2 linked regions of the Pelodiscus sinensis genome follow. The protein of the gene in region 1 binds, or shares a complex with, the protein of each later gene. Links are inferred from orthologs where the notes say so. Each region holds a gene or a part of one and is shown on either strand. Other genes may lie near its edges. The genes, in order: EGLN1 and EPAS1.

Evidence for each region.
Region 2: the proteins of EGLN1 (region 1) and EPAS1 are in contact, whole or in part, in a crystal structure (PDB 7Q5X), measured with the Homo sapiens proteins. The link is inferred for Pelodiscus sinensis from reciprocal best matches to the Homo sapiens genes EGLN1 and EPAS1. Residues at the interface, in NP_071334.1 of Homo sapiens: Gln239, Leu240, Val241, Ser242, Lys244, Ile251, Arg252, Trp258, Asp277, Ile280, Arg281, Ile292, Asn293, Gly294, Arg295, Thr296, Lys297, Tyr310, Val311, Arg312, His313, Val314, Asp315, Pro317, Asn318, Asp320, Arg322, Arg370, Trp389, Tyr390; in NP_001421.2 of Homo sapiens: Asp525, Leu526, Glu527, Thr528, Leu529, Ala530, Pro531, Tyr532, Ile533, Pro534, Met535, Asp536, Gly537, Glu538, Asp539, Phe540, Gln541, Leu542.

The regions. Positions count from the first base shown.
Region 1 is NC_134713.1:123,943,611-123,959,885, forward strand, and holds the start of EGLN1 (egl nine homolog 1), read right to left. Parts: upstream 7,932-16,275; 5' UTR 7,403-7,931; coding exon 6,524-7,402; intron 1-6,523. UniProt on the Homo sapiens protein: Cellular oxygen sensor that catalyzes, under normoxic conditions, the post-translational formation of 4-hydroxyproline in hypoxia-inducible factor (HIF) alpha proteins.
Region 2 is NC_134713.1:164,509,028-164,525,312, forward strand, and holds the start of EPAS1 (endothelial PAS domain-containing protein 1), read right to left. Parts: upstream 7,585-16,285; 5' UTR 7,165-7,584; coding exon 7,139-7,164; intron 1-7,138.

The sequences.
Region 1 (16,275 bases):
AAGTACAGAAGACCAGACGAGAGATTTTACTGAATGCGATAAGGACTGTTCTGACTAGATGTCTAAACATCAAGGCTAGAATCAGAAAAAAATACCAATAATCTGCTGAGAGAGAAGTGTGTGCATTACAAGTATATTTATGCTTTTTTACCAATATAAAAAATATCTTCACTATTGAAGAGACAATTCCTGAAGACCAACTTTCAGATTTATATTTCAAAATTTTGCACACAAAAATCTTATTAGGGACATCACTTAGAGCACTTGTGCTAAGCAGTTCTGCTGTGGGACTATACTGCACCAGACCTTGTGGTAAAACTGAATAAACTTTAAAAACAACAAATGGTCTGGTAGCACTTTATAGACTAACTCGGCTACCCCCTGAAGCTGGTAAAACTGAGGCACTCTTTCTTACAGAGCAAAGCCCAACTATAAAAATCATTCTACTCCATAATATTTCATGCTAATTTACCTACAATTTTATTGAAATACTGTGTTATTAATATTAAACAATCTTCTTTTAGGGTCTCCATACACCCAAACTAAACAATCCAGTATATCACAGACACAAAAAATAATTTAATAAAAGTCTGAAAGGCAAGATTGCTTGTTACAAGGACAGTGGCAAGTTTTACTTAATACAACAAAAAACATGGAAGCTATAGCACAGCACAGAGCATTATACCAGATACTTACGTATGTCGGGGCTTATATGAACCTGGATCAATAGGCCTAGGTCTAATATAGAAGAAGTGTGATTAGTGTGCCACTGTTCATTTACAAAAAAGAAAAACAGTTTCTGGTAGTAAAAACTCCTACACTTTTGGTGTAAGCACTGTTCAAAAGAGGTCTTGAAACTGACTGGACTACACAGCCAAAACTAAGCTTGTTAACCAGAGACCAAAATGAAAGGTGTCCCACCAGCAAAGCCAAATGGCAATAACCCAATATGATCCCCCACTCTTTACCCCTGTGATCTGCTAAGATTCTTAACGCACTGCAATTCCCTTAAATCTGGGACACAAAGAAGGGGGGGAGGGGAGGAAAGAAAATTCATTTTTCGCAACACTTGTTATGCAACAGTTATATAATAAATGTGGAGCCTTCTTTCCCTCCCTCCTATCCAGCAGCCAGTAGTTAGAATTGTGTAAGAAGTCTCTACTCTACCCTCTCTTGCCCACTACATTTTGGGTTCTCATCTGACATGAAAAGTATTCAATTACACTGCCCCTTTTCCATAACTGGTCCCCCATTTTTGTTCACGTATCATCATCCTCACACCTTCGTCCTCTTTGTCTCTGTCCTCTCTCTCGTGTTGGTTTCATCTCCATTATCTCTCTCCCCAGAACTGTACTACTCAATCAAGTGATCCTGATTAGTTTCACTATGCTACTCTTGCCATACAGAGAAAGCGCTCTAAATGAGTGACAAGTGCAATTCTGTATGGTTGGTGGAGGCTGATGTAGGAAAAAAAAAAATTAGTTTTCACAGCACTCCTAATCTGTTAGCTGTGGGAGTAAGTGAACAAACTTGGTTCCAAAACACACACTAGACCAAATACTTTGGCAATTTTAACCTTTGAGACTTTTCCCTCTTCTTTCCATGTGTCTTTCCCCCTAAACCACTCATGGGACAGATTTTTGTCAATTCACTGACTTCCACTTGGTCTCCGCTGAAGTTGCTTAGGACTGCATTCACTGCAGCAGCAAAAGCATTCACTTCTTATCAGGAGAGTAAAGGAAAAAGAGCAAAGAGAAGAGAAACATCTCTCTAACCCAGCAATGGAAAACCTAGGCTAGCAAATGGGCCGCTCCATCTCAATGGGCTGTTGTAACCAAGACAGTTTCCCGGGATAGAGTAGTTTTGCTAATGGTGCTTGCATACAGAGAATTTGCGGGGTGTACAGATTGGACCATAGCAGTACTTCGATTGTATACAGAAGGACCTCCTGGCTCTCAGAGTGAGTGCTATGCACAATCGGCACACACCTCACTTCACATGCTCCTGTTTCAAGTGCATGACACTTCAGTAATACCTGTAGGAAACATAACATGGACAGCAATCAACAGAAACTGGCAACCCTGCATGTGAGCAATGGAAAACAAAATGTTTTGTGGGCCATACATAAAACAGTAGTGGGCTATTTGTGGTGCTCTAAGCTCTTTCTCTTGGAGTGATCTTGTCCATAACACAACCCCAGCGATTTCAGAAAGTACAGACCAGCGATGGACAACCAAGAGCCACAAGCGGGCTGCATGAATGGCCCTCCATCTCAGTGGGCTGCAGCAGCCCACTAGGATCCAATCTGCAGCCAGCAGACCTCTGTCTAGGGATGTTAGCGAGTAGTCGACCACCTGATAAGCATAAGCTTGTCAGGTAGTTGAGTGGAGTATTGACTGACTGTTCCTTCCCTTTCTGCCTTTTGAGAGGCAGCAAGGTAGGGGGAGGACAGGAGCTGGTGCTAGGGGAGAGCCGGCTTAAAAGCCGGTTCTCCCAGCACCATCTCCAGGGTGCTGCCCACAACAGCCTCTACCCATAGGGATCCCAACAGGGAGCTGCCCCCACCCCAGACAGGGTCTGCTGTCACCAAGAACCCTCTGTTCACAGCAGACAGGGCTGGCTGCCACCAACAGGGTCTGCTGGACCCAGTGCAAGCCAGGACCAAGCAGTCCCAGCTCATGCTGGTCTGGGACACTGCGCCTCTGCATTTTAAATGTAGTAAGAGCTCAGAGCCACTGCACGGGTGGCTCCAGGGGCCATCTTGAGCCAGAACTTCTCAGTTCCTGCTCAAGCTGGCTCCTGGAGCTACTCCTGCTGAAGCTCCGCAAAGCGGTTATCGACTAATCATTTAGTCAAATTGTATTGACTCCACAATTAGTCAGGTAACCACAATTTAACATTCTTAATGGCTACCCTGAGACTTTTCAATTAGCAAAGTGGCTTCCTCAGTGCAGGTGTAGCCACCTCTGAAGTACCAGCTACTGTCCACTGTCAGAAGCTGGTAGGAAAACAGACTAGATGAAAAGTTTTAGAGGGGTAGCCGAGTTAGTCTGTAACTGGAAAAAACTTAAAAAAAATGATTAATAGTCTTGCAGCACCTTAAAGATGAACAAAACATGTAGATGGTATCATGAGCTTTCGTGGGCACAGCCCACTTCTTCAGATGACCTAATGGTTTGATGCTGTATGGCAACTTTAAATCCTAGCCTTGCTATTTACAAACACGTTACTCATCTACTGTAAGGTGCGGGTCTGAACAACAAAGAGGCAAAAGCCATGAAAAAAATGCAAGGATTCCCATTCAAAAGTACTGCTCCCATTTTAAATCTAACAATGAGACAAATTTTAGGAGACTTTTGTTATATTCACTTTGAGATTTTTTTTTTGAGTTGAACAATCACTTGATGGACGAATTGGCTAACAAATCCCATGCTGCAGAGTTATACAAGAAACTTACACAATGATAGTATGTCAGCTAGCCAATTGCAACATAATAGCTTTACAAATTAAATGTCAGGACACCAACCTACACAAACAAAATAGTAGACACTTTCCATGGACAGGGAAATCTAATTTGCTACGGAGAAGTAGTCTAGGGGCTGGGTTCTTCCCCCCTTCCAGTTTCTCCCTCTCCTCCATAGCTTATTAGCTGATGCTCTGCAGCAACAAGTCTGTCAGAATACAACACACACAGATTGCTTCAGGCCAATTTCACAAGCCAAATACACAGGGAAACATTGGAACTTAACTGCATTTACAAGTTTGGGACCCCATCACATAGGTATGAATAAAGACATTATCTGGCTAGCACACTACCTTCCACATCCTAATGACTTAACCAACCAAACAATGGGTACTGGAACAATTTGACCTTCTCCATCAGCTTCATGTAACATGAACACTTCAATTTGCTATTCGCCCCCCCTCTCTTTTTTCCCTCCTCATCCCCCCATCTCTTCTTTATTTTGGAACTGGACTTTTAATACTCCATTCATCTGAAGAAGTGGGCTGTACCCACAAAAGCTTATGATATGATCTACACGTTTTGTTAGTCTTTAAAGTGCTGCAAGACTATTAGTCTGTAGCTGGAAAAACTTAAGACGAACTCTGCTACCCCCTGATGCTTCTTAGCAGTTCACCCTAACATTCTTGTTCTTCAAAGGAAGCAGCAAGTTGTCAGATTTGTTGTAACGTCATTTTCACTTTCTTGCAAATGTTTAAAATGGTTGATATTATTTCTTTTAACTAGTCCTCTACTAAACTTAAGATGCCCTATGCAGTCTCTCTACCCCTCCCCCCATTTAAGAACCCAAAGAAAACAGTTGAAAGGATGACTGACATAAAACTTGGAATTTGATAAGAGGACTAGTGTCTCAGCCAAAAACGACCCCTCTCTCCCCCACAAAAAAAACAAAAATCAAGGAAACCATGGAGGTACTCATTTTTGGCAAAACTAGCGGAGAAAACATCAGTTACAACTTTCTTCTCCTCAAGGCTTACATTTTACAGTAGGCTATATAAACAGCACTGCCCGATAAGATTATAACTTCACTACAGGTCAAGTTAACACACACCCACACCTGAATACTTTTTCCATTTCGTTATATTCCTAAGTGCACCAGATATTGTAATATGACATAATATAGTCACTCTAAGTCTCATCCAGCAGTTTTATGCAACCATCTAAGAGCACTTCCTGTATTACCACCCCAAGGTAGCTCATGGTAATTTAAACAGACTATTATACATGCTAAAACCCTCATTACTAAGAGTGTGTTCATAAGCAAACACCAAGTAAATAATGCTAGAAATATTTGTAACAAGAATTACTATTTCAGAATATATAAACAGAAGCAATCATGAGAAACTGATGTAATATTTTGTAGCATGAAATCTCCAAACTGGTCATATTACTTAAGGGGAGCACTACAGACAATGCATCACATTCCAAATTTTTAGGGGCCATCAGTTCAAACAGAAGTTAAAAGGAGGATCATTTTTGCCTTTGTATAGAGTGCAAGTTTTCACAACAGATACCCTATAAGTTCAGAATTATATTTTATAGGCAGGAAAAAGACCTCAAGGTCAGCCACCTAAACTAAGCACAGGAAATATAACTGCATCATTTTCAAAAACTATATATTTACTGTAACAAATGCCACAGAACTACTCATTTTCCCACATGTACAACACGAGCTTTCTGTCACAAAACAAAAAACTGTCCTGCCCATAAGAGAATAGAGAAGTGGAAAATTTAGAACCAACAGCAAGTGCTGTAGCAACCTTGACATTTATGTATAATTACAGACATGCCTTATCTCTCTCATGTGAGGATAGAGCATTATTTGAAGCTCAATTTCTGAACAAGGATTGTGCCATACGAGTTCAGACATTTAATAAAGTATTACAGTTTTCCATGTGAGAGGTCTCATTTATGAAAGCATGCTCACTGACTGTCCTAAAGATGGAAAGCTTCAGAGGGGTAGCGGAGTTAATCTGTAACAGGAAAAACTTCAAGTGTCTAGTAGCACCTTAAAGACTAACAAAACATGTAGATGGTATCATGAGCTTTCTGGGAAAACCCCACTTCTTCCGGTTTTGCCCATGAAAGCTCATGATACTCTCTACATGTTGTGTTAGTTTTTAAGGTGCTACTAGTGTATTTGTTGGTTTTAAAGTTTTTCCTAAAGATGGAAGTCAGTCACAAAACACACACAGAACTGACAGCAGCAATAACTCTTGTATTCAGTGTAGTTTTAGTCACCTGGGCTGCAGGATGTTATACAAAGTGAGTGAGGTAATACTTTTTTGGGGGTCCCAGTTCTGAAAAAGAATTCTGTAGCTCAAAAGCTTGTCTTTCATCAACAGAAGTTGGTCCAATAAAAGATATTACCTCACTCATCAGCAATACACATTACCCCACCCTGACCTTTAGGGACAACCCTTTAGGAAAGAGGAGCTATTCAGTTTCCAGGACTACTCAATCCTTGGACCCTGCCAAGCCTATTTTACCAAGATTACACTTACAAAGATAATTTTACAGGGTTCTAAACGGAATTAGAGAACACAACAATTAAAGCACCTAGGATCCTGGTCCCTGCAATCTCACACTTGCTATTTCCAGCAGAGTTTCTTTGGTGCTGCACAGTGACAAAGTTGACTAAGATATTCAATATTGACAAAGTTCACTCTCCCAAAGTTGACTAAGATATTCAATATCGGCATCAGTGGCAGCTCGCCCCTCAGTGGTGTTTCTCCCAAGAGCCAACAGACTAAACAATTGTATTTTTCATCTCTAACTTGAGTTGCCCCTTCAGTGTGTGACAGAAGGGCTGTGTGAAGAGAGGATCTAACACGTTGGCCAGGCCACTGCTTGGTCTTGCAGGAGCGACTAGAAAGGTGGACTGCGCACAGGAGGAAGAGATGGGCAGGAAAAAAGCAAAGTGCGGGGGAGCTTGGGCTCGGGCTAGTGACCAAGCCGCAGGTGTGAACGAGGGACGTGGGGGGAAAAAGGGTCACTCACTTTCGTCCTGCCGTTGATTTTGTAGTTGCCCAGCTTGCCATTGCAGTGGCGGATGAGATCGTCCATGCTGTTCATGAGGAGCCCGATGGTCTGGCAGCAGGGCTCCTTGCCCTCCACCCAGGTGATCTTGTCCCCGCGGATGTCCTTGGAGGAGTCGCTCTTCTGGCTGACCAGCTGCCCATCGGTGAAGCGGCCAGTGTGGTGCAGGGCCCGCACCTCCCGGGCGATGCGCCCGCCCACCTCCTTGCCCAGGAACTCGTCCACCACGCAGATGCCGTGCTTGTTCATGCAGGGCACGATGTACTCCAGCGCCAGCCGCTGCGGCACCAGCGACTTGGTCTGCCCGTTCGGCCGCAGCGCGCCCCCGCCGACCTGGCCCCCGCCCGGGTACAGGTTGGATTTGTCCCGGTACACGAGCCCCGCCTCCCCCGCCGGAGCCGCAGCCTCCTCCTCGGCGGGGGCCGCCGCCTCAGACAGCGCAGCCGCTGCCGCGGGAACGTGGTTGTTGGTCAGCGGCGCCGCAGCCACAGCCTCTCCCTCCGCGCCGGGGCCCGAGCCCGGCGGCACCTTTTGAGCCGCGGCCCCCTCCTCCCTGCCGCCGCCTGCTCCCGCCGCAGCCCTGGCGAGCGGCTGGAGGCCGGCGCGGTGCTCGGCAGCGCCCCCTCCCGCCGCCGCGCCGCCACCGCTGCGGCAGACGAGCTTGTGCTTCTTCCAGTCCTGGCGCTGGTGCTCCTTGCTGCAGTAGAAGGAGCTGCGGCAGCGGCCGCAGCGCAGCAGGTTCTCCATCTTCCCGCACAGCTCGCAGTACTGCCGGTCCCGCTCGCTGCCGCCGCCGCCGCCGCCGCCGCCCTGGCCGGCCCCGCCGCTGTCATTAGCCATGGCGGCGCCGCCGCCGCTGCCCCTGCTGCTCCGGCGATCGCGTGGGGGCAGCAGCGCTCAGGCGGGTCCCGCCGGCCGCGCTGGGAGGGAGGCTGCGAGGCAGGGCGGGCAGCTTTCACTGCATCATGGCCGCCCCCGTCCCTGCTCCGCGGCGGCCTCCGCTCCCCTGCCCACCTCCCGCGACAGAGCCCGGGCCTCCTCCTGGGCGGGGAGCGGGCACCCGCCGGAGCCCAGGCCGCTCTGCTCTCCCCGGCGGCTCAGGCTCGCCACCGCCTCATCGCTGCCCCGGCGAGGGAAGCAGCTGGGAGCGCCGGGACTGGCGCTTCTCCCCTGCGCGCCTGGAACTGGGGGGTCTCCTCCTCTTCCCGGTGCGGGTCAGCGTCTCCTCCTTCGCCTCGCCACTGCCTGACTCGGGGGGAGGGTGCGGGGGCGAGGAGGAGGCGCCACTATCTCTGCCCGCTTTGCACGTACGCCACTTCCAGCCAGCTAGCGCGGCCGGGGCGGGGCCGCGGAGGAAGGGGGAGTGCGGGCCAGCTCAGCATTGCTGCAGCGTTGGGGGTGGGGCTGGGACGCTCCTCCCTTTCCTGCGGGGAGGTTTTAGTTCCTCCGCCACCTAAAAGGCCGTGATTTGTTTGCATTAGGGCACATGGGGTGGGTTTCCCCCCTTACCCGCTTTAAGCCTCCCTGGCAGAATAGGAGTCGACTGACCCTCCTTTGCTCTCTCTCTCGAGTCCAGTTAGAGCTAGGCCAAACCAAAACCTTGGGCTCAACTAGTAGCCACATTTTACAGAATTCCATTCTGGCCCCCAGGGACTTTACTTCTCTGTGCTTTGAACTGTTGCCTGATACATGAACGACACATTTGTATCTAATAGCAGCCATGTGCTCAGTACTGCACAAACATAAGAAGGGGGTGTGTCTGGTATATAGTTGGACAGTTGACATACGTCCTAAATTCTGCCACTGATCTACTGACTGGCCTTGGGCAAGTCACTTAAAGGGAAACGGATCTTGAATTCACACTGCTGTCTGAAAATTATTTCGTTAATTCTTTACTTATAAGGCAAAAATTTTTGGTGAGAGGGGCCACTCCAAGATTTTGGAAAGTGGTCAAGGCCCTCACTCTTCCATGCTATTAATAGAGGAGGTGTGGTGTCTGAGATGGAGGTTGAGGGAAGGAGGCAGTTGTGACCTAGGGCAGGGGATTAGGGTGCAGGGTCTGGGACAGGGTATGGGTTCAGGAAAGAGACAGAGGGTTTGCCTTATATGAGGTGTGGGGTAGAGGGTTGGGAGGGGGTAGAGGGTTGGGAGGGGGGAGGGATTGGGGTGCCAGAGGCAGGCTCTGGCAGGGAGACTTACATGGGTGACTCCCAGCCAGCAGCCCAGCAGGTTTCTCTGCCTGCCTGCAAACCACTCCCACTAACATGCTTCAGGGGCCATGTGCATTGGTGAATAAGAGCCTGAGGGGAGAGGGAAATGGTGCTTCCCACACTGCCTGTTTTAAGCAGCTAGTTCCCAGTGGCCAGAAATCAGCCAATGGGATTGTGCTGAAGGCGAGAGCAGAGCAGCGCATGAAGCAACACTTTTCCCTCTTCCCCCTCCCACCCCCCACTTCCTGACTCACAGTTGAGAAAGAGAAACGGCTGTGCCAGCCTTTTCTGAGTGGTATGGGGGTGCATGTGGGGCAAGCACGGAGTCTGCCTGAGGCTCTCTGCTGTGTCTGTGGGCCGGATCCAGTGGCCAGGTGGGCACAGATCCGGCTGTATTTTGCCCAGGCCTGTTATAAGGTCTACAGTTAATACAATAGAAAGGTTAGCAAATTGTACATTTGAAAACACTTTCTGCATAGTCAATTACCCTATGGTTTCTCATGTACATAGTTTCCTCTGTTTGGTTATTTATTCATTTATTTTGGATGGTGGGGAGGGGGTGTTTCGCAGAGTAAAAGGGGAGAGGAAAACCCTCTTCCCCCCCCCAAAAAAGAAAAACAGTTGGATTGTTAAACAACATCTAGGAAGAGATACAAATTATTTAAAAAAAAAACAATTACAAATGTTTGGCTTCCCTTTAATTTCTTGATGTTTCAGTAGCCTCCTCTATAAAGGGGGTCAGTATTATTTACCCACATTAGTAAAGTGCACCAGGTTCCTCCACTGAAAAGTGTGATACTGAAGTACAAAATATTATAAAATGACAGACAAAAAAGGACAAGAGTTAGACGCAGCAGCCCCAGATGTTTTGAGATAGGGAGAGCAACTCAAAGACATTTGCATTCTGGGCTTTAGTGATAGGTTGATTCCTAGTGGTGTTACTGGAAGTGGAGAGAACAAATCAGGTAGTTAGTTTTTGCCATTTCAAGCTGATGGTGTGAAAGCCAAAAGATGTTAGCTAAATGTACCATGCTGTATCTATGGTTGGAGATAGATCAGCCAAGGTGGCTAGGTAGCCTAGGACTTACAAGACTTGGGTTTGAGTCCCAGATCTGTTAATGACCGTAAGCAAATAATTTAGGGTGGCATTCACAAAGAGATTTAGGACCTAAGGACCACTGATTTCAATGGCAGTTAGGTGTATAAATACCTTGGTGAATCCCACTTTTAGCCTCCCTATCTTAAAAGTACTTAAGTACTATTAAGAAGATAATTGTACTTCCCTATTAAAGAAGTGCTGTGAGGATTAAGATTGTGAGGCAGTCAGATACTATGATAGTGCAGGCTGTTGTAGTACCTGATAGGAGAGGTATCTTTGAGAGTTATTGGCACAGAAATGGTGGTTAGTAGAATGTGAACAGATAGAGTCACTGAGGCCAGATCTACACTAGGGGCTCGTCTACACTGGCCCCTTTTCCGGAAGGGGCATGTAAATTTCACTAGTCGTCGTAGGGAAATCCCCGGGGGATTTAAATATCCCCCGCGGCATTTAAATAAAAATGTCCGCCGCTTTTTTCCGGCTTTTAAAAAAGCCGGAAAAGAGCGTCTAGACTGGCCCCGATCCTCCGGAAAAAGTGCCCTTTTCCGGAGGGTCTTATTCCTACTTCAAAGTAGACGCTCTTTTCCGGCTTTTTTTTTTATTTAAATGCCGCGGGGGATATTTAAATCCCCCGCGGATTTCCCTACGACGACTAGTGAAATTTACATGCCCCTTCCGGAAAAGGGGCCAGTGTAGACGTAGCCTAGGAGTTTAGGTCAGTTTTCTATACAGTGAGTCCACACCAGCAAGCCCATTCCATTGTTCAGAGCAACATGCAGTGTCCAGACTGCCTTCGTCCTCTACCCTGGACTGACTCTGCAGAAGATCTTGAACAAGCCTTTACACCACAGGAAGTAGCAAGTAGATAAACCAACAACAAAAACATAGCTCCAGGAAATGATGGTATTCTCTACAACCTCCTGAAAAAAAAATCATAGACTCTGATTGGTATTAACTGCCATTTTCAACAGATGCAAGTAGTTCCTGGTTTCAACAGATGCAAGTAGTTCAATATGTCAATACTCTCAGCTCCTGGAAAAAGACCATGATGGTGCTTGTCTACAAGAAAGGTGAGCGAGATGACCCCTGCAATTGGAGCAATCTCTCTGCTTCACTATATACGAGCTGCCTTGCAGCTAGTGAGTGGAGAAGCCATCAACTCCATATAGAAGGGCTTCATGTCATGTGGAGACTGCTACAAGCACAATTTTATCCTTCAGACTGCCATGGAAGGAGAGACTCCGGAAATTCCCATTTGTAGTGGCATGAAGCAAGTCTGTCCCCGCAGTCCCATTATCTTCAGTTTAGCCATGGAGCTACTCATCCAAGCCACCTCCAGCAGTCTAGGTAGTTTAGACCAATATGTGAACAAAGTGAACATCTTGGCCTATACAGATGATCTGGTCCTTATCACAGACTAACCAGAGAGCCTCCACCTAATATTGGATGTCATCAGCGCAGCAGCCAATTGGATGAGCCTCTATTTCAGCACTAGTAACTGTGCATCTATGTACGTAGATAGCAGCATCAGGGACTTGGCTTACACAATGAAGTTCCAGATCCAGGGTGAATCCATGGTTTTGCTTGAGGACAGGCAAGAGTACCAGCATCTCGGCATGCCCTCAGGTTTTTGTGTCCAGCAGACACCCGAAGACGCCATCACAGAGATCCTGTACAATGAAGCCAGCATTGATTCCTCCCTTTTGGCATCACAGCAAAGGATCAATGCCTGGGGCACCTTCCTGATTTCCCGTATTTCATTCATCCTGAGGGCATTTACCATGGTGAAGGTACCCCTCAACAAGGCAGACAATCCCATCAAAGAACTGAGAAGTGGATGTTTCTTCCTTACAGGCCCAGCAATGACATGGTGTACATCTGTCACAGGCAGGAAGGCACCAACGTCCCTCAAATGGGTGACCTGTGTAATGTTACTGTGATCACACATGCTTTCCACCTCTGGACATGTGCAGACACCACCGTAAAGAGCATTGCAGAGAGTGCCATGCGAGATGCTGACAGGAAGCAAATCACCAGGGCTCCACAGAATCAACCCAAGATGTCTCCACCTACTTGAGTGTCTCCTTGGAGGGAGAATTTTGCAGAGATGGGGAAGCCTTTGCTTCACTCTGGACTCACACTTACAATGCTACATGATGCCGGGAGAAGCGAATCAGTTGCCCCTGGATGTGATTCAAAGAATGCTAGGAGCTGGGAGTTCTAGTGCCACAGGTGAAGAAGATGAAGCACTCCATCATCACTTTGGCAGCACCATGCTAGAGAGGACTTCAGAGGATACCATTTGCTACCATTATGCTGAAAACCTGAAATGGACGCCAGACCAGGGCAAGGCCTTCGAGTTGATATGCAAGTGGGACACCACATTCTCCCCAAAGGCAGCTGCACCCAATTTGCAGACTGGCAGGTCATCCATTGGGCTCAGCTCAACCGTGTTTCACTGAATAGAGCACTCCCCCACAGGAATGAGGACACTCCAGAGCCTGACAGCTGCGACACAATGCCATCCAGGATTGCCTTGTCAGGGCTATCCCGCCAACTCTGGGGAAGGTTTCTGTGAACTTCGCCATCCCTTGAAGAGACAGACAGCTGTGGTCAGACATCATCATCACAGGAAGAAGATCATCGTAGTGTATGTCACAGTGCCCTTCAAGAATAGGACCCCGGTCTTTTGCAATGTTCCATCTCAAAAACTGGAGAAGTATGTCCCTCCGGCTAACATCCTGAGAGATAGGGGCTATGAGGTTCAAACCCATGCATTGATCATTGGAGAACTTAGCACATGAGCAAGTACTGAGGGCATGTGGAGTTGGACATTGTTACACTTGGCTAATGCAGCAACTCATGGTATCAGATGTCATCAGGTGGTCGAGAGACATCTACATAGAACATATCACTGGACATTGGAAAAATCATGAGAGATGAAGAGGAGTGCCCACAAGAATCACCATTGGGAAGGTAACTCAAATACTTCCGTGATGGATTGTATTTTCCAATGGATAGTCTACCCTAAATTCTGAATTACTAAAGGTCAATCTCCACTCATTAATATCTTCGCTTTCCCCAATCAACACTCTATAAAACTTTCCATGAGTGATATACCACTTATTCAGTTCAAATATCTAAACTGTATTGTTAAATTTATGCACCTATATTTGGATTATTGCAGATTCTGTATTTTATGAATTATACGATTTTAAGCAAAACTTTTATCTATTGATAATTCAAGCATGACACCCAGATGTACAGAATCTCTTTTTCTTTAACCTATGTAAACTTTTTTAAACATTAGCTTTATTACATTTTTTTAAATCTTGGGGAAATACAAACAAAAAATCAAAACACAAGTAAACAATTTGTAGGGCAGGGTTTTTTAGCATGAACTTAATGCAAGATAATTTTTGTAGCCCTTCACCTTCTAATGTAATGGGGTCATTAGAAATACCTACCACAGGTAAGCTATTGGAACAGATTTCTCTTTTCAGGGTCTAGTAATAATAAGTTAGCATTTATACAGTGATTTATACATTTAACACTATGAAGATGCTATAAAATACTGCTAGATATAGAAACTATATAGCAGGGCTACTCAACTTTGGAAGCCACGGGGGCCACAGTGATACTCTCAGCACATGCCGAGGGCCACAACTTAAGTGTGGTTGCATATATATGCAAATATTTATGCAAATAGCTTCTTTCACACTGACGGGCATGAATACAAAGCACTTCCCACAATGCCCCGGCACTGCCAGCACCTCCTCCCGGCGGGCTAGAAATGCCAACACCCTGTACCCGTCTATTCCTGCCAGCCTATCCGCTTGCGTCTTTCAATGCTCATCTCACCTCACTGATGTTGAGCATGTTCCCAGTGGAGGCCATCTTCAAAGGATCCCACATGCCGGTCACATGTTGTGCTCCATGTAAACCCAAACCGCCCCATGGGCTGCCTGTTGAGTAGCCCTGCGTTATAGGCATCCAGAGTTCAAAGCCTCTGGGAGATAGATCAATAAGTGTTATCCCTATTTCATAGATGAAGAAGTGGAGACAAAAGGTTGGCGTCTCCCCAAGAGTCCAATTTCCTCCTCCTCAGTAGGGGTTTCCTTCTGGGTGTGTCTAGACTACATGCCTCCGTCGACGGAGGCATGTAGATTAGCCAGACCGGCAGAGGGAAATGAAGCCGCGATTAAAATAATCGCGGCTTCATTTAAATTTAAATGGCTGCCCCGCTCTGCCGATCTGCTGTTTGTCGGCAGATCGGGGCAGTCTGGACGCGACGCGCCGACAAAGAAGCCTTTCTTGATCGGCACAGGTATGCCTCGTGAAACCAGGTTTACCTGTGCCGATCAAGAAAGGCTTCTTTGTCGGCGCGTCGCGTCCAGACTGCCCCGATCTGCCGACAAACAGCTGATCGGCAGAGCGGGGCAGCCATTTAAATTTAAATGAAGCCACGATTATTTGAATCACGGCTTCATTTCCCTCTGCCGATCTGGCTAATCTACATGCCTCCGTCGACGGAGACATGTAGTTTAGACGTACCCTCTGGTTCTCCCCCTTTGTGCCAGGGATAGGGTTTGGAGGCTTGCCTTCTCCTGTGGTGCTATCCCACCGCCGGGCTGGAACACACAAAATCTACTAGGTTAGGCCCCCCTAGGTTCTGGTGTGCAAAGGGATTGTAGGGAGTGTCTTTCTCCTTCTCAGTCAGGGACCACATCCCTGAGGGGTTTTGGGGGGTTATTTTTTCACTTGTGTGTGGCCCCCAACTGATTTTTCTGTGGATCAATGGCACCCAACCCTAAAAAGGTTCTCCACTCCTGTCCTAAAGTAATGGCTCTTACTCATGAAGATCCAGTCCAGAACCATATTCTTAAATCTCATAATTTCATCAATGCAACCTACTTCCAGGACCTGCTCAGGCTTGTCCGCTCTCTCTCTCTCTCTCTCTCTCTCTCTTTGGAATTACATCTGATGAGTTGGCCATTATCAACCAAGAACCACAGGACACCCAGGAGAGAATCACATTTGTAAGGGACAGCATGTATGTTCCCACCAGGACCTCCAAGAGCAGTGACTCTTCAACTGTGCCATGACACCACCCTGGTAGGACAATTTGGGCAACAAAAAAGAGGACAATTAATGTCCTGGGACTTCTGGTGGCCTTTTATGCATTCCACAATAAAGACCTTTTTCACTTCCTGCCAGGTGTGTGCCCGAACCAAGATTCCATGACAGATATCCTACAGTCTCCACCAATTTCTAAACACTCTATCTCATCCCTACACGGACAGCTCCTTGGTCTTTATGGTGGACCTATCAGAATCCTCACAGGGAAAACTGCCCAGTTCTGGATAAATCATGTGGTCCATCTTCATGGCTTTCTAGATCACATCACTTACAACTAGGGACACCAGTTTACTGCCTACATCTATTAGGATTCCAGGCACACCTGTCCTCTGCCTACCATCTTCAGTCAAATGGCCACATGGAAAGAATCAATTGATCCTAGAACAGTATTTATGGACATACACTAACCATCACCAGGACAGTTGGTCTTCACAGTTACCACAAACACAGTTCTCATATATTAATGCATCCATTCTTTGTCAACTATAGGTACCATTCTTCCCCAGTTTCACCCACAACTACCCAATGTCCTTCCCCCAACCCATTGGTCTCAGATGTAGTATAGCACATCCAAGAGGAGGTGAAGGGATACCCTGAAAAGGCAAAGGGGGACTATAAAAAGCATGCAGTTAGACAACAAGGCCCCATCTACATGGTAGGACAAAATATATAGCTTTCTACAGAACACTGCCACATGACAGATCTTCTTGGATACTAGGTTACCAGTTCCTTGGACCACGCCAGAATCAGCGACAAATCAACCTGGTCACCTTTGAGCTCTAGGTCCCTTGATCCCTTAGGCTATGTCCACACAGCAGCATTATTTCAGAATAACATCATTTATTCCAAAATAACATAGTGTGTGTCTACACAGCAAGCCCATTATTTTGAAATAAATTCAAAATAACGGACTTCTTACTCCGACTTCTGTAAACCTCATTGTATGAGGAGTAAGGGAAGTCAGGGGAAGAGTGCTCTATTTTGAAATAACTGCTGTGTAAACAGCAACAAAACTTGAAATAAGCTATTTAGATGTAAGTTACGCAATTAGCATAGCTCAAGTTGCATAGCTTTTTTTGAGTTTAGCCCTGTTGTATAGACATGCCCTTAGAGTCCAACCCCTAGTCTATGTCTCAATTCTAAAACCCTATGCTGAGAACACATTTCCTCATAAAGTCCAATCACTATCATTACCAGTGCAAGTACAAGGTCTGAATGAATATATTATCCAAAAAGTCCTCAATTCTAAGATCAAGCAGGACAAG
Region 2 (16,285 bases), about 41 Mb from region 1:
CTTACAACATGTTAACTCTCATGATAAACCTGTTCCACTTTAGATATAACTGTGACACTTGGGTGTCTCTATAGTGCAATAAAATACTTGTGACATGCCCACCTTAGCAATAGGGGCTGTAAAACTGCAGCAGATGGTCGGGTTTGGGCTGGAGCTCAGGATCCGAGATCCAGTGAGTGGGGAGGGTGCCAGAACCCAGGATCCAGCCTAACACCAAACACACCATCACAGCCCTGTGAGTCTGAGTCAGCTGACATAGCCTAGCCCCAATGTTATATTACAGTGTAGAGTAAACATACCCTTTGAGTACCTTTCCCAGACTTGAAGAGCTCTGTGTGAGCTTGAAAAGAGATATAACCTCACCCACCTTTCCATGATAGCATTTACAATGTAAAATAATATACCCTACTGTGCCTCATTGGCCATCAATATCTTCACTGTGATATTCACAACAAGAAAGGGGGTGAAATGAATCAGCATGAAATTTCTTTTCTCCGCGAGGTTGTTTTTTTCATGTCTTGTAGCAAGATGCATAAATGTAAAGAAAGCAATTATAATGAGTTTCAGCCTAGACTGGAGCTTGAGCATTGTTTTTCCAACCATATGTTTGGAAACACTACAACTGAGCAAGAGGTATAATTCTATGGTCACATTTGAAATATGAATGGCAATTCATTATACAACTTCTTTTCATTCCTTGCAAATCAGGCTACTATGCTAGTAACAAAAAGCCCAATCCTTCAATGCTTACTCATACAAATACTATAATTCTGTTGATTTCAATGGAACTACCCACATGAGTAAGATCTCCTTCCATGAATACAGGTTGTAGTAACTGGTTCTACATTAGTTGAATTTCAAAGGCAATACTCGGGGGGAGGGGATGTTCCTTGCCTCTCTGCATAGGTTGTAAAACTCTTTAAAGGTAGGGAAATAAAATTTTGTTCACTGGAAGCTTGTAATTATTTTTAGATAATTCAAATGTTGACGTTTAGAAGAAGTACTTAAAAACACAGGCTATGTCTAGACTACAGAGTTTTGTTGGAAAAACAAAACTTGAACCTGTTTTTCTGACAAATTTGAGTTACATCTCAACTGTAAGCGCGTTCTTTCAACAGTAAATCGAAAGAAGAGGGCTTTTTGTGCCATTGGTAATCCTCATTCTACGAGGAAGAAGCCTCTTTGTGAAAGAGCTCTTTCGCAAAAAGGCGTTTGTGGACGGGAAAGAGGGAGTTTTTTCAGAAGAAGAGGGAAGAGGAAAAATCACAGGTGCCCTGGTGTCCATTTTGTCCATAGCAATCACTGCTTACATGCGAGATAGTTTCCAGCCAGTGTGGAAAAAAGCACGTAGCTTTTTCAATGCACTTTTGCAGTGTGGACACTCTCTTGCACAAGACGTTTTTTAGAAAATCTCTTCTGAAAAAAGCTTCTTGCGCACTAAGCTTGTAGTCTAGATGTAGCCACAGAGTTTCACAGTGCCCAGCAAACCTTGTTCTGAAATTTATATATTTGAATGTTTAAGTGTAAGAATGCTGCACTGTAAAATTAGATGTGTGGTAGAATGCAAGAAGAAAGATTCAGTAGATTTACAGTAAGGTAGGTCCCTAAATATAATGAATCTCATAATAACAGAATTCCAGTACTCAGGCCCTTCATACTATCCAAATAGGGTGAATATATGATAACTGAAGATAAGAACAGGTTACTAGAAAATGCAGTATTATTTAACAGAAAATCAGTATGTAGTACTCCACTCAAAGATGCCATTCAACTTGTATAAAATCCAAATATTTGTGAGTGGAATGAAAGGTGACAGAGGAACTGAAATCCACCCTTGTACTTCAATGCATGTGCCACTGAAGTCCATGGAAATCGGTTTTTAACAATTGGATTAGTTCTTTTGTGAGTAAGGATGTGTAAGCTTCTGTTGATGGTAATGCTCTTAGTACCAATCTTTCTCCGATTAAAGTAAATGAAAATTCTCATTCACCTTGGTTATGCAAAATCAGTCCTTTGAGGCAACAGGTCAATGGGAGTTGAGGCACAAAGTATCTCAAAAGAGTTTCTTAGCATCTAGAAGTACCAAGCTTTAAATATTAACAAAAGCATTCATAGCCATAACTAAACAGGGATATTTAAGCATCAGATGTTTGGTCTTTTAGTCAATTTTTTTACACTCCTGTCCCCTCTCTCCCAGCATCACACAGCATCTATAAATTTGCCCAGCTTACAAAAAAAATTGGTCTGACTTCAGTATAACGTCATTAACAATCACCAGGAAACTTTTCTGGTGACATAGATCATGAAATAATCTTACAAAAGTTCACTTAAAAATCACTGCAGTCATATTCTCACTCAGTAGTGAAACATACATATTTCTCATCGTATGAGTTCATTTTCTTGACTGGAAAGTCTCTAATAGATTTTTTTCCAGCAATATGTGTTCTGAATGAATTTATCAGGAAACACCAAACAAGCATTAACAATGGTAGCAAAACAGCAACATTGACAGTGTTTGCACTCATTTGCTTTACGCTGAAGACTCTTCCACATGGAACACTAAATCTTATGTTCTTGATAGACACAGAACAAAGTCGTCTTGACCCTGCAATGTTTCTTGAATTAAAAAAAAGGAATTATAAGAAAATAACCAATTGCAAACAAAAAAAAATCATGATTAAATAAAAAAACAAAGACATTTCAAATAGCTGAAAAAGAAGCTGTCAGAATACTGAAATATCATTTGAGAAAAACCTTTATGATCAGTTTGCATATGATCATGTTTGGAATATGAAGATTAAACGTATACAGTATTGATTACTCTAAGTTTATATAATCTTACAAACAAAATTTATTTTATTCTTTTAATGATTTTTTTAAATTAGTATTCTAAGAAGTATTTAAATTTTTGTTTAAGAATATAAAATGCCTATAAAGAAGTTTGCTGCTGATTAATTTAAAGTAGTGAGTCTATTCATTTTCCATCAGTTTGTGGTAGATTATTCGGATCAGATTTTTAGACATTATAATTCAGTGCGACAACATGACTGTTTTATATAAAATGTTACTCAGATCTCTTTCACCTGTCCTGAAATTCCCTTGTGAGAATCTGAGAATGATCTTTGATTTGAATGGAGCACAATGTAAAATGTCATGGATTATCTTTCATGGACTGCCTCTGAATTATGATGACAGAACTGTTCCTCAAGGCTCATGACTCAAGACTTGCATGGAAGTCCTACAAAACAGATTTTTATTACCATCATCATTTTTCCTCAGTAAAATTGATTATAAATTGTGCTAGTAAATGACCTAAGTTAGAGTTTCCAGCTATATATCTGAGTAGAAATCAAGTTAATACCGCAATAACTGACGAGCTAAAGGCAATAAATCATTATTATAAAAATGACAAATGTAAATAAAATATTTTCAGTTTCAGTTAGCTATGCAAACATTAAAAGCTCACCTTTATTAATACAGCCTATGAGAGAGTTAAATATTATTAACCCAATTCTGAGAGAAGGAAATTGGCACAGGAATGTCAAGTGATTTACTTAAGGGCCAGTAATATTAAAACTCAGAACTTAAGCATAGCCAGTAGATTAGAACTGAGATCACCTTACATTTCCATTTTGTGCTTTATCGAAAGTTTCTAAGGCACTTTAGATAAACAAACGCAAAGAGAGAAAAGAAGAAAATTCAGAAAGCCTCCAGAGCCAGCAGTGGTTTCATCTTCTACCCACAAGCCTTAAACCTGCACACCCTGTGGCAAGGACCACTCCTTAAGAAATGAACTTTTTAGCCATTCATTCTAAGTGCTGCAGGATGACAAAGAGTAACTGAACTACTTTGACAGTTACACTGTTGTCATGATTCAGTTGCCATTGATGGGCACAGTCCACACTACAAAACACCCATGGTTGGCCCCTGAGCTTCAGACTTGAGCTGCAGGAATGTAAAACTTCAGTGTAGAAATTTGGGGGTCTGTCTCCAGCTGAGTCCAAACATTTACACTGCAATATTACAGTACCACAATTGCAGTGTAGTCACATTGTATGATCTGGTCAGCTTCAAATTATTCTGAGCATTAGACAGTGCTCATATATAGTTTAGGTGTTTTAGGTGGGGGGAGGGGGTTCTGTTAAAGCTGTCTTTCATTAAAATTGATTTTTTAGTCTGAAAATTATGTTTATTAAACATACTATATAATTTTATAAATGCACCTTACTGTATGAATTTTTTTCATTCTTTTCTTCAAAACAGATTTGAGGCTACATAATATTATCCCGTACTTCATTCTTTGCATAGAGAGTTAACTAACATTTAGAACAAATACAGAGGTAAGTGATTAAAATGATTTAACCCTAATAAATTAATGTCTCATATGCTGATGTTTTAAAAAATACAATTTACCCAAAACCTCAGCGGGGTAGCCGAGTTAGTCTGTAACAGGAAAAACTTAAAAAACAACAAATAATCTTTAAGGTTCCACTTGACTAACAAAATATGTAGAAGGTATCATGAGCTTTCGTGGGCAAAACCCACTCTCTTCAGACCCTGTAACCCTATACTCCGGTCATCTGAAGAAGTGGGTTTTGCCCATGAAAGCTCATGATACCATCTACATGTTTTGTTAGTCTTTAAGGTGCTACTAGACTATTTGCTGTTTTTTAAGTTTTTCAATTTACCTAAAGTTATCCTATCTCTCATAGTGTATCTCAGTCCATTCATAGTGTAGCTCAGTCAATGATTTAGAACTAGCGCACAAATTAAAATAGAAATATTAAATACAATTTGTAAAAGCTTAGCATATATCAGTAAATGAAACTACTATATATGAAGATATTTCCTTCGTAAAGTACAGCTTTTATTTATATGTCTGTATTCAATGACAAAAGCCAATCTTGCAAACACTGATAGTATAAAATAGCTTAAATATCTCAACACAGAGGTCAAGCATGCAATTTGTAATTATTTGGACAGTATTTACTCATGCAAGTACTCTCGTTGATTTCATGAGTTAATTGTCTGCGGGAGTTTTGGACTATAGTTCATGACTTCTTTCCTTTTGTTTCCACCAAAAACTTTGTATGAAGATTCAGTAGGGAAATTATTCTGAGTCGTAATTACGGAGGTTGAATACCTTGATTTCTGTTTTCTTTGGATATATGTATTTACTAAGATACAATTCAATCCCTACTTTACATCCCTTCTTGCAACAAAAATAAACATAAGAGTAAGATATACCCACCTAGCCCATAACTGTGCTCAAAACACTTCCAGAGCCCTCAACTCTTAAGTAAAACAAATGACAGTTTAAAAAAGACTCCATGTCCTTCACATCTAATATTACATTCTAGTATTTCATCAGATCCTCAAAATTATGATGCTGCCTTATAGACCCCTCAATAGGTTGAAATTTATCAGCAATATGCAATAAATAAATGTTAACATAGTTTTCATGTTGTCCATGTAATTGTAATTATTTGTTTTGTTTAATTATTTCCCTCTAAAACACCATCTTCACCTGAAATATAATAACCTAACTGACATTAAAGATAATAAATCTTCATGTAAATTGCATTTGCCTAATCCCCTACTAATAAACTAACTGAGAATTGGCAAGACTGGAGAACTAGTATACAGACCACAGTCAACAACGAGTATGTGCATGATTTGAATTTCAAATGACCAGCTATGGGAGCAGTTATGTATTTCCAATTATACTGTACATTCTTCTTTGTATGAGGATGATTGATTCCCCACCAGAAAACAAAGCTTTCCCATTTTGTAGAAGTTAGGGTTCTTTCCAAGGGAGAAGAAAGTGGGAGTAAATATAACAGAGGTGAGGGAAGAGCCTTCGCCTATGGGTGTCAGAGACCTCTTCAATACAGCCGACCAGAAAAGAGAGACCTGAATGTTTCCCAGTGCATCTCTTCAGAGCGCCGCTTCCAGGACACTCACTTCCAATGCAACTGAAGTGCAGACTCTCAAAACAAGAAAGAGTCTGACTCCACTAGGAGCTCAACTCCCTCGAACAGCAGCTGCCGCAGAGACTAGTCGGCGTTCCAGTCAATGCTTGGGCTAAATGTTAGATTAGATTTAAACCGACGTCACAAAAACGGAGAGTTGCACTTTTTGCCTATACACCGGATTCACAACAACTAGACTAAGTAACTGACATTAGCCGACGGCCCCTGCGCTAGCCGAAAGTCCACAGGGAAGATAACACACGGTATTTTGATACACTGAGACGGTGGATGGGGCTGGATTAACGTGGAATCTACTCTGGTATCGAGCATACCCAGCGGACACTTAAGTGGGGAAGCGGCGGCGGCGGGGTTTCTATAGTGTGTAGGCTGCATGTTTCCTTGAAGCTCCCATGGGCGCATGAGGGAACAGGACTGGATCCACACTACTGCATAGGCTACGTTTCCCTATCATGTATATGACATCACCAGGAGCTTCTGAAACCACCTATTTGGGATCACTCCTTCGTGCTGGGGAATTCCTTCTGCCCTAGTCAGCCCCCTGCTGTGTGAACCCCCGCTATGTTGCGTGTAACCCTTCCCCTCCCGGCTCTTCTCGAACTCCAGTCACCTTTGCGAGAGCCACCACAGACTGGGAAAGGAAGGAGCTGGGCTCCTCCACATTTGCTAAAAAGTCTTATGTGTGTCGCTGGGAGCGGTTTTCGGTGTGGGAAAGTGATCTGCGCTGTTTCGTCGAAGTGACCTCTGCCCCCGCGTCTGCGGCGATCAGCCAAGACAATTCACTGCGAAGAGACATTTTTTCCTGCCGCTACTCCTCTCGAGGCCCGATCCCGCAGGCAGGCAGCGGAATGCCCTGCCGTGAACTTCAAGAGAAGGCGGCTCGGGCTCCTCACGACAGTAGCTGCTGCGGGATCCCCAAGCGCCCGCTTGCAGCCCCAGCCGCTAGGGCCTGGAGCGAATGCAACAGCCTCACACTCGGAGAAGCAATAGAAGTCACCCAGGTGTCCTTGGGATGATGGTAATTTAGCGGAGTCCCACTAACCATGCACCCCCCGGGCACCACTGCTGCAGTGACAGTTCCCATTTTAATTGCACCTTCGTATCCCCTCCCCCGACTCTGTCCGCCCCCAGTCTCCCCTCCCGCTTACCTTTTCTTTTCCTTGTCAGCGGTCATTATCGCTGCCCTTCGTGCTGCTTAAACCAACTCGGGCTGCCAACGAGGGCTCCTCAGTCACTGCTGCGAGTCTCCTATTGCCTCCCCCCGACAGAAAACCGCCCGGCAGCTTAGAGATCACAGGCTTGGGAGCAGGAAGAGAGGCGCCGGGAGGGCTCGCCGAGCTGACAGCAAGGCTGGTGCACTAATTGTCCTCTAGGAAAAGGCTGCGGCTGTCCTGGCCAGGTCGCCCCTGAGCTGACCATACAGTCTCAGGACACTGCCGAGGATTGTACAGCCTGCCCAGGGGGGGAAGGGGAAGGGAGAGACCGGGTTCGCCCTGGAATCTGAAGCTCTGCCAGAAGAAAGTTCTCACTTTAAAACTTAAAGCTTCCCTGGGCTCCTGGGGGCAGGTTCAGCCTCTTTAGCCCAGTCACCCACTCCAGCTGGAGCTGTCGGCAGCTCGTTCTCCAATGGGGACGGGAGCTGCAGGAGCCCTCCTCCTGCCCCGCCCCGCCCCCGGCCACCACGGCTCCAGCAGCACTTGCCGAGACCAGGTCAACGCCGCGAGGGGCTGCGGGCGCCTGGGCGGGTGCAGGCCAGCAGGAGAACCCCGAAGAGCGCGGGGGAGGAGGCGGCGCCCCAGCCTCGGGGCTGCAGTGGCACGTTCTGCCCGGCGGGCCGCGGGAAGTTGGGAGTCTCTCCTGGCGCTGTAGGACTCGCAATAGCTCTGCCCACGCTGGGGAGAAGGGGCTGGGAGCAATTCCCTCCCCTCGGCAGCCCCTGCTCCCGGGCCCGGGGGCCGGATTTCTCCCTCTCGCCCCCCTCCCCCTCTTTGCCTTGTGGCCGCAGCGAGCTGGGTGCTCCCCGGGCCCGCCAGCGCTTTCCCAGCAAAGCAGCGCGGGGAGACGGGGCGAGATGGCCGGGAATGGCAGGGGAAAGTGGCCGCCGGGAGCACCTGTCAGGCCTGGCTGGTCAGGCAGAAACGTGACTGGGGCTGTAAACATTGGCTTTTGGATGGCTTAATGGCCCAGGTTTCTTCCCCCCCTCCCCCCCGCCGCTGCTTTCCTCCCTCCTCCGCGTTTCTGTGGGAGGGCGGGTGTATTTTGTATTAATGGCGTTTCTGGATGCACTTGGTCAAGAGGAGTCATCCTTCAGACACGAAAATCAAGCCGCAAGCCTCATTTGTGAATGGATGCAGGAGATGCCTCTCTCTTCCACCTTTAGCTGACTGGTTGGATAAGGCTTCTCCTCAGACCAGGAGCCTGCTGAGGTGATGATGCCTCTCTTTGGGAACAGCTATCTTGAGGAAGAGCCACCAAGGCATTCGGTGGAAGTTAGAGCTACACAGGCTCCTGAGCCTTTGATATTAAGATTAAGACATTAGATACTATGATGATGTGGGGTCATAGTTAAGTGATTGCTTGCCTTACCCCTAAGTGTGCTTGGTAAAATGAAGTCTTGTCCCGACTCCTCACTCCCAGCCTACAGAACTTGAAATCCAGGACTTTCTCACAAAGTATTGCTCTGGTTGGATTTATGCCGCATACAAAAAGCTAATGCTCTAAGCACTTTCATAAAATGCATCTGTCATATCAATAGCCACAAATCCAGTAGCTATTCCTCAAGCTCAAAACCCAAATTACTCAACCACAGGTTGATTAAAAAAATACCCTTCTCACAACTAATTCCCGGTGCTCATGATACCATCCACATTTTTCATTAGTCTCTAAGGTGTTGCAAGACTATTAGTTTAAGTTTTTCCAGTTACAGACTAACACAGCTACCCCTCTGAAACTTTTAAACCGCAGTGCTCAGTTAAGCTTCTAAATACTAGAAGTGCTCAAAATAAGGAAGGTAAAGGCAACTTGCTCCAATGGAGAGCACATCTGTACATAAGTGCACAGTAGAGGATACCATAGATGCTGGAACTAGGGGTGTATGAGGTGCTGCCATACTGTCCATAGTTATCATATACATGGTTTACAGTTTGATGTAATGGCTGTCAGCACCCACACTGTAAAAATTGTTTCACATCCTGGTGAATACTGGAGCATAAAACTGCAAGGCCCTCATTTTACTGATTTTCCTTTCTTTGGGCTTCTACATTTTGTTTCTTTCTTCTCTTTTTTTAAAAAGCCATTGTATATTTATTGACTTGTTCAAATAAAAACAGCAATAAACTTTAAAATTAAGCTTGCTGATATTGTCTTCTTGGGAAATAAAGTACTAAGGCTTATCTCTGGTGAACTTCTTTGGAATATTTTACCTTGTTTTCAGAATTAATTGTACAAACTCTGCTGTGTCAAACAAATTCGTTCCTTGTACCACAACCTATTTAATTATTTTAGTTTAATTGCATTCATAGTCTCTACATTTGTCAGTAGAATTTTTTGTTAAGACAACTAAAACCCAAAACATTTTTTCCTCAGAATAAGTCACTAGTTTTCCTACACTTCAAACTAATGGAAGCAATTTAGCATTTTGCCTGTAAAAACGATTTCTCTATTATTTAAATTTTAGCAGTCTCCTCCTGCCATATTCATATGCCACTTCAAGAAAGTTTGGCCAGAGAAGTATTTTTTTATGGAATATGTGTTTCCCTATTAGTAATAAATTCTGCTTTCATCTGAGGAGCGTTACCTGCACTTGTATAACAGCAATATGATTAGATGGTAACAGTTTCTTATACAACAGAATCTACACAAAAGAAAAGCACAAATATTTAAAACCTAAGTAAACTTGGTTAAACAGAATTTGTTTAGCCTTCAAGTGACTGAAGAATGCAGTAGGATCAAAGAACCAGTCATTCATTCTCTAGATTAAGTTGAGATCTTAGTCCTTCACTGATTTTTGTTGATGTCACTACTACTCTCTGTATCTGAAGATTCTTTACCTGGCTAAACAACTTGATTTGAGTCAGACAAGCAAAGAATTTAAAATGGTTGTATTTCAGATGCACAGTAAAATTCAGATATTTCAGGTCTTGCCCATTGGCCTAGTCCTAGTGACACTGTTCTAGATGCCACATTTATTGTTCTTTTGACTAGCAGGGGTTGAAAGTACAGGTGCAGCAACAAACTGCTCAACTGTGACTCCCCAACGTGACTTAGAAATGCTGATGGACTCCAAAATATACCCTATCTTCATGGTAGTGATGATGTTGCATTATCACAGAGATAAGGAAAAACAAAGGATTTTCAGGGTTGTCAGCCATGCGTAAATTCTCAGAATCAACAGGGAGATCCTGGCATCATGGAAATTTTGCCACTAATTCCAGAGGCAGCAGGATTTCAGCAATAATTTCCTATAAAATGGTTCTCAGGGTGCCAAAAATGACAGTATAAACAATTAGTTCTCAATACTGGCAAATGAAAGAGGGAACAGATGCTCCACATTTGATGAGATTGTTCCAATTTTCAGCAAACCCAAACAGTCAACTGTCGTAGGAGCCAAATATACTTTTCAGCACTGCTTATACGATTCACAATGGGAAAGTAAGGCACTCTTCAGTACACGTATATAAAGCAGTAAATTTCCACCAGACAAAATCCTTGCTGGAGGCTGGAATTTAGATCCAGAAATACGAAATTTTATTCACGATGCCTCGTTACTCTTTTATATTTTTGGCATTATTAGAAGTTTAAAAGGCCACATTTGCTAACAGCAATATCTAAAAAGATACCATTTCCCTGAACTTAAAATAGGAAATACTGCCATATTTCAAGTGTACCACTGACTGTTTTACGCAACAACCACAGTTGCTGTGTAGAAATTAAGAAATGTGGTATGCCGTGCAACAACGTGCAGCAATAAAACAAAAAGACCAAATATTAAAAACATATAAAAGTCAGAAGAACCAATGTTTTGGTTCGGTAATAGCAGCTGGACCTTTTTGCATAGATGGCATTTGCATTACTCTATAAGCTTTTATGATGTCACATATAGGTGCAGTATAGTCAGATTAGGAGTAGCTGGATCAACGGCTGGGGAAACATCCAGGAGAGAGGATCTTCCATAAAGTGACCTTTGTGGAGCTTTGTCAGTGCACTCTCTTTAAACAGACAGCAAATAATAGCCTGCTGTGTAGATGCGGACTCATCTTTTCTTTCTCTCCCCCTTGCCCAACCCACCCTGTGGCTGGAAGCACTTTGTCCCTTCAAAGGGTATGTCTGCATAGCAGTGTTATTTCAGAATACCTGACATTATTCCGAAATAACATAGTCCCAAATCTACGCAGCATGCCACTATTTTGACATAATATGAAAATAATGTCTAGCTGGAGGACTTATTACTCCAACTCCTGTAACCCTCATTTTACGAAGAGTAAGGGAAGTCAGAGGAAAAGTGCTCTTTCTCGGACTTCCTGCTGCATAGACAAGTGCCAAAAGCCAAAATAAACTACGTACCTCAAGTTGCGTAGCTTATTTCAGCTTTAGCCCTGCTGTGAAAATGTTATAAAAAGGGGTGGAAGAGTTGAAATAAATGGCATACTGAAATAAAAAGAAAGCCATGGAAGTCTAACTTGTTTTTAAACAATCCACAATGAAATAGACAAATTTGAAATTCCTATGGGTTCCTAGATACTAGTTAATCCCAGCATACCAAAGTAAGGTAAATACATACTTTGAGAACACAATTTTATGTAACCAGTCTAATCAATGTATGCAATGTGTTTATTTTAACAAACTAGTCTCTGAAATACATTTTATTTACAGCATTCCAGAGATAATACATGCTAACACAGTGTATGTATTTGCTTAAAATGCTATGGAAAGTCATATCTACACATTATTTTCAAACATGTAATGATTCTGGGCCACTACTATAGAATGTTGAAGCCCCGATCCTTGAAGGTATTTTGCCTCCTAACTCTATAGAAGTTAGAAACCCAAGTATTTTTGAGGATTTTGTCCTAGTGCCCCCATGGAGAGCTCAGCACCCACAATTTCCACAAAGTAAGTGAGGTTTTAGGACACACAGTGCTTTGTAAGATGAGCCCCTTCAGCCTCTTCTTAAAAAAAAAGTTCTAAACCACAGTTTTTTAAAAAACATATCCACTGCACATTTTTCACATGGGCTTACATCCATGAAAAGCTTGTTTTGGCTTGTTTATTTGTGTTTGTTTGTTTGTTTGTTTTTAAAGACATTTGCATTAGTCAAGTTCCAAACCATGTAGAAAACTTCTCAATGTCTTAAAATGAATTGTGAATCACAACTTTACTGCCAGGAGCACCAGGGCTGTGCCCTGAAATCCCCACACATGCTTTCATTTTTAATTTAACTGATTCTGAGTGGCTTAGGGAGATGAATGCTTCTTGGATTAATTTATTTTTGTCCCCCCATGCATGCCTTTTCTCACCTCATCACTATCAAACAATGCAACACTGTATCACAACATAATGTTGACATCTGAAGTGCCAACCATAACCCAATGAGCTTTTCTCTGTTTTTACTGCTTGTGGCAAAGACAAGTTTTTGATTAGGTTTTATCCCGTTAGCTCTGCAGAGCCAATTCCTTGAGAGCAAGTGGGAGGCAGCATGGCACAGAGGTAGGCCTGAGATTTGGACTACCTGACTTCTATGCTTTGTCCACATGTTCAAGTTCTCCCAGTGGTCTAGGAAAGCCACCTCTATGAGAGGAGTATATAAGGCTATGTCCAGACAACAGGCTTCTTTCAAAATAAGGGTTTTTTGGAAGAGATCTTCTGAAAAAACTTCTTTTGAAAGAGTGTGTCCATACACAAAAGCACATTGAAAAAGCGATCTGCTTTTTCGAAAGAAAGCATCAAGACTGATTGGATACTATCTTGCATAAAAGGCCACCCAGAACCAATTCAGGCAGGGCATTAGGTCAGCAGTTGCTTTCAGGTGCTGTTGCCTAAGGCTATCTGAGATGCGTGCTTAAAGAGACCCCCCTAGACAGCAGCTTCTCTGCTTCTGCTGCATGCTTGCCAACCTCTCTGAGGGACAGTAAAGCTTTTGCAGTGCCTGCTTTGGTTGCCCAACTTTTTGACACCTCTGGGCATGCAATGGCCCCATGTTACCGTGCTGCAGGTTCTACAGAAGTTTGTGCAGACCGTCTTGACAGTCTTGCCCCACCCAGCTCGACGCCAGGCTCATTTGAGAGTCCCTCTACCTGTATGCAGGAGCAAGGCCCTTGCACCCGCACCCCAGCGTAGAGAGATGGTCATGCACTTGAAGATCTCGGTGTTGCGGTGCTTGGATCTGAGGTCCTGAAATGTCTCCTCCTCACCCCACAGCTCCAGGTGGGACAGGATCTCTGCTCAGGACCAGGAGGGTGCCTGACTCTTGGTCCCCTGGGCTGGGTCTTTGGACCCCTGGGACTGCTTCCTGCAAGAACCAGAGGGGGGCTTGTGGCTCCATCGTGGGTGGCAAGGCCTATGACAGGGAGAGCCGCGTGGTCAGGGTGCTGCTTTCAGTCTGGCTTCCTGCCACAAGGCTTGTCCAGGGTGCCTGCAGCTTTACGACCTGGCAGGAGACAGGAACTATAGAGTTGTGATTAGTATGGACAGAGTGTCCACCAGGGCACCTGTGTTATTTCCTGGAGGCCTCTTCTTTTGAAAGAAAACCCTACTCCCCATCCACACATGCCTTTTTCCAAAAGAGCTCTTTCGGAAAAGGCATTCTTCCTTGTAGAAAGAGGAGTACCGCTGTCAGAAAACCCCCTCTGTTCTTTCAATTTACTTTTGAAAGAACGTGATGGCAGTGTGGATAACTCAAGTTTTGTTGGAAAGATGGCCATTTTTCTGACAAAACTCTGTAGTGTAGACATACCCTAACAGCGCTGGGAGCCTTTTTACACTAATGTGTTACAGCAATGTAACTTGCCGCACTCGGAGTGGGGGGACAACTCATACCTTTGAGATGAAAAGTTACAGAGCATTTACTTGCCAGTTTAGACAAACCCCTAGTGCCACCTCTGCCACTGGCCTGCTGGGTGTCTATATCAGTTCACGTCCCTGTGCCACAGTTTCCCCATTTATAATGGAGGATAATGATACTAACATCCTTTGAGATCTAAAATTCAAGATCTATTCTTTTCTGGCTCATGGCACAATTAACTGAGGTATAGCTGCAGAATATTTATTATTGGTGATAAAGAAAAAGCAAAGCTCATACTTTAGATCCCATGTTTAGTTAGGAGGGTTGGCAGCTAATTAAGACAGTCTTTATAAATTGGGCAAGCCTGATATGAAATTCAGTGACACAGATACGGGATGCCATTTTGACCATCATGTTTCAGACTATGGGTCAAACTTTCAGCTGGCATAGATCAGCATCACTCCACTGAGTTCTCTGCACATTCTATAAACTACTCTAAGAAAATCTTTTAAATTGGCCGACTTCTGTAGTTTTCATAGAAACAGAGCGCCTGTTGAAAGCACTCCACAATCAAGCATGAAAATAGTATTTCAGAGGAGTGGTGTTTTTTTTTTTTTTTTGAAACTTCAAGATACTGAACACACACCTTCAAGACATTTTTTAACAGATAAGCTCAGTCATTTTGAGGCATTGATTACTTACAGGCACATTCCTGACGTTTCAGCCATCACACACCCTTGAGAAAGGCCTAATGGCCAAAATGCTGGGAATGTACCTGTAGATATTAAAAGGCTTAAAATTACTGAGCTTATCGCTTCACCTTTTTTGGAAGGTGTATCCTTAGTCTATGATGAACAATTCACAATATTACAATGGCTCACTTCAATAATGCATACTGACGATGTTTTATTGCTAGAAGAAAGATAAAGTATTTAAACTTGCCACCAACAGTCTCATATAACTAGTTGCTTCTTCTGTGATAATCAACAATTTGTCTTTTAGAAGTTCATTGCATTGGGATCTATTTAAAAAGAAAAGTGGTGACTAATGAATATTGAAACAATCCCCACAAGGTTTTGGCAAAGCTTATCTGCTAGAAGACGAGAAATTGGAACAGCATGTATGAAATTTACATATTTTATTGAAAGAAGGGTTTATTCTCCTTTTTTCCTCCAGTTTATTATCTAGCTGTTTTTCACCTTACTGGCTAGCATTATCTGAGGGTATGTCTACACTACAGAGGTTTTTTTGAGAAAAATGGCTGTTTTTCCGAAAAAACTTCAATTACATCCACACTGCAATCGCGTTCTTTCAAAAGAAAATCGAAAGAACAGAGGGGTTTTTCTGACATTGGTAAACCTCTTTCTATGAGGAAGAAGCCTTTTTCCAAAACAGTTCTTTCAGAAAAAGTTGTGTGTGGACGGGGAAGAGAGAGTTGTTTCACAAGAAGAGAAAAGAGGAAAAAGCGCAAGTGCCCTGGTGGCCATTCCGCCCATAGTAATCACAGCTTACATGCGAGATCCATTCAGTATGGATGCTATCTTTTGAAAAAGCAGATCGCTTTTTCGATGTGCTTTGGCAGTGTGGACGCTCTCTTTTGGAAGAAGTTTTTTTTCAGAAGATCTCTTCCAGAAAAGCTTCTTCTGAAAGAAGCCTGCAGTCTTAACATCTTTGAAGATTATAGGATAAATGCTTTTTGGAAAGAAGGAACATAAGCCACCAACACATTTAAGCACATGCCTAACTTTAAGGATTGAGTAATTCTATTTTTTCTGGGACTATTTACATGCTTAAAAGTTTAAGCATGCTGAATCAATCTGTTCTTAAAGCACCATATAAAAGGAACCAGTTACATAATTTCCAAAATACATTTTCCTCAAATGTTATCATATTATACCACATTCATATTTAATGCAGTCAAAAGAAGCTACATTTCTTCCACATTATAACCTTTACTTGCTGAAATGCTTGGTGATCCTTCTAAAGGAAAGGCACCATACAAGTGTAACATTCATATTTCATATGAATTGCTTCATATTTCACTTTGAACCAGTCATCACAGTAAATATTATCCTAGCTCTCAGTGCACGAGCATGTTGTTGATGCAGCTTCCTTCTGCCTCTTTATGAGAGCTCCACTGAAGGACACATAGGTGTTGTGCTTAAAAGAAGCACCCGGAATCTTTTTCAGGGGGATAAGGCAACATGACACATTTATTGAACATACATAGATCAATCAAACTTCATCATATGCATATGATACATTGCACTCATACACACACAGACAAGCATACTCC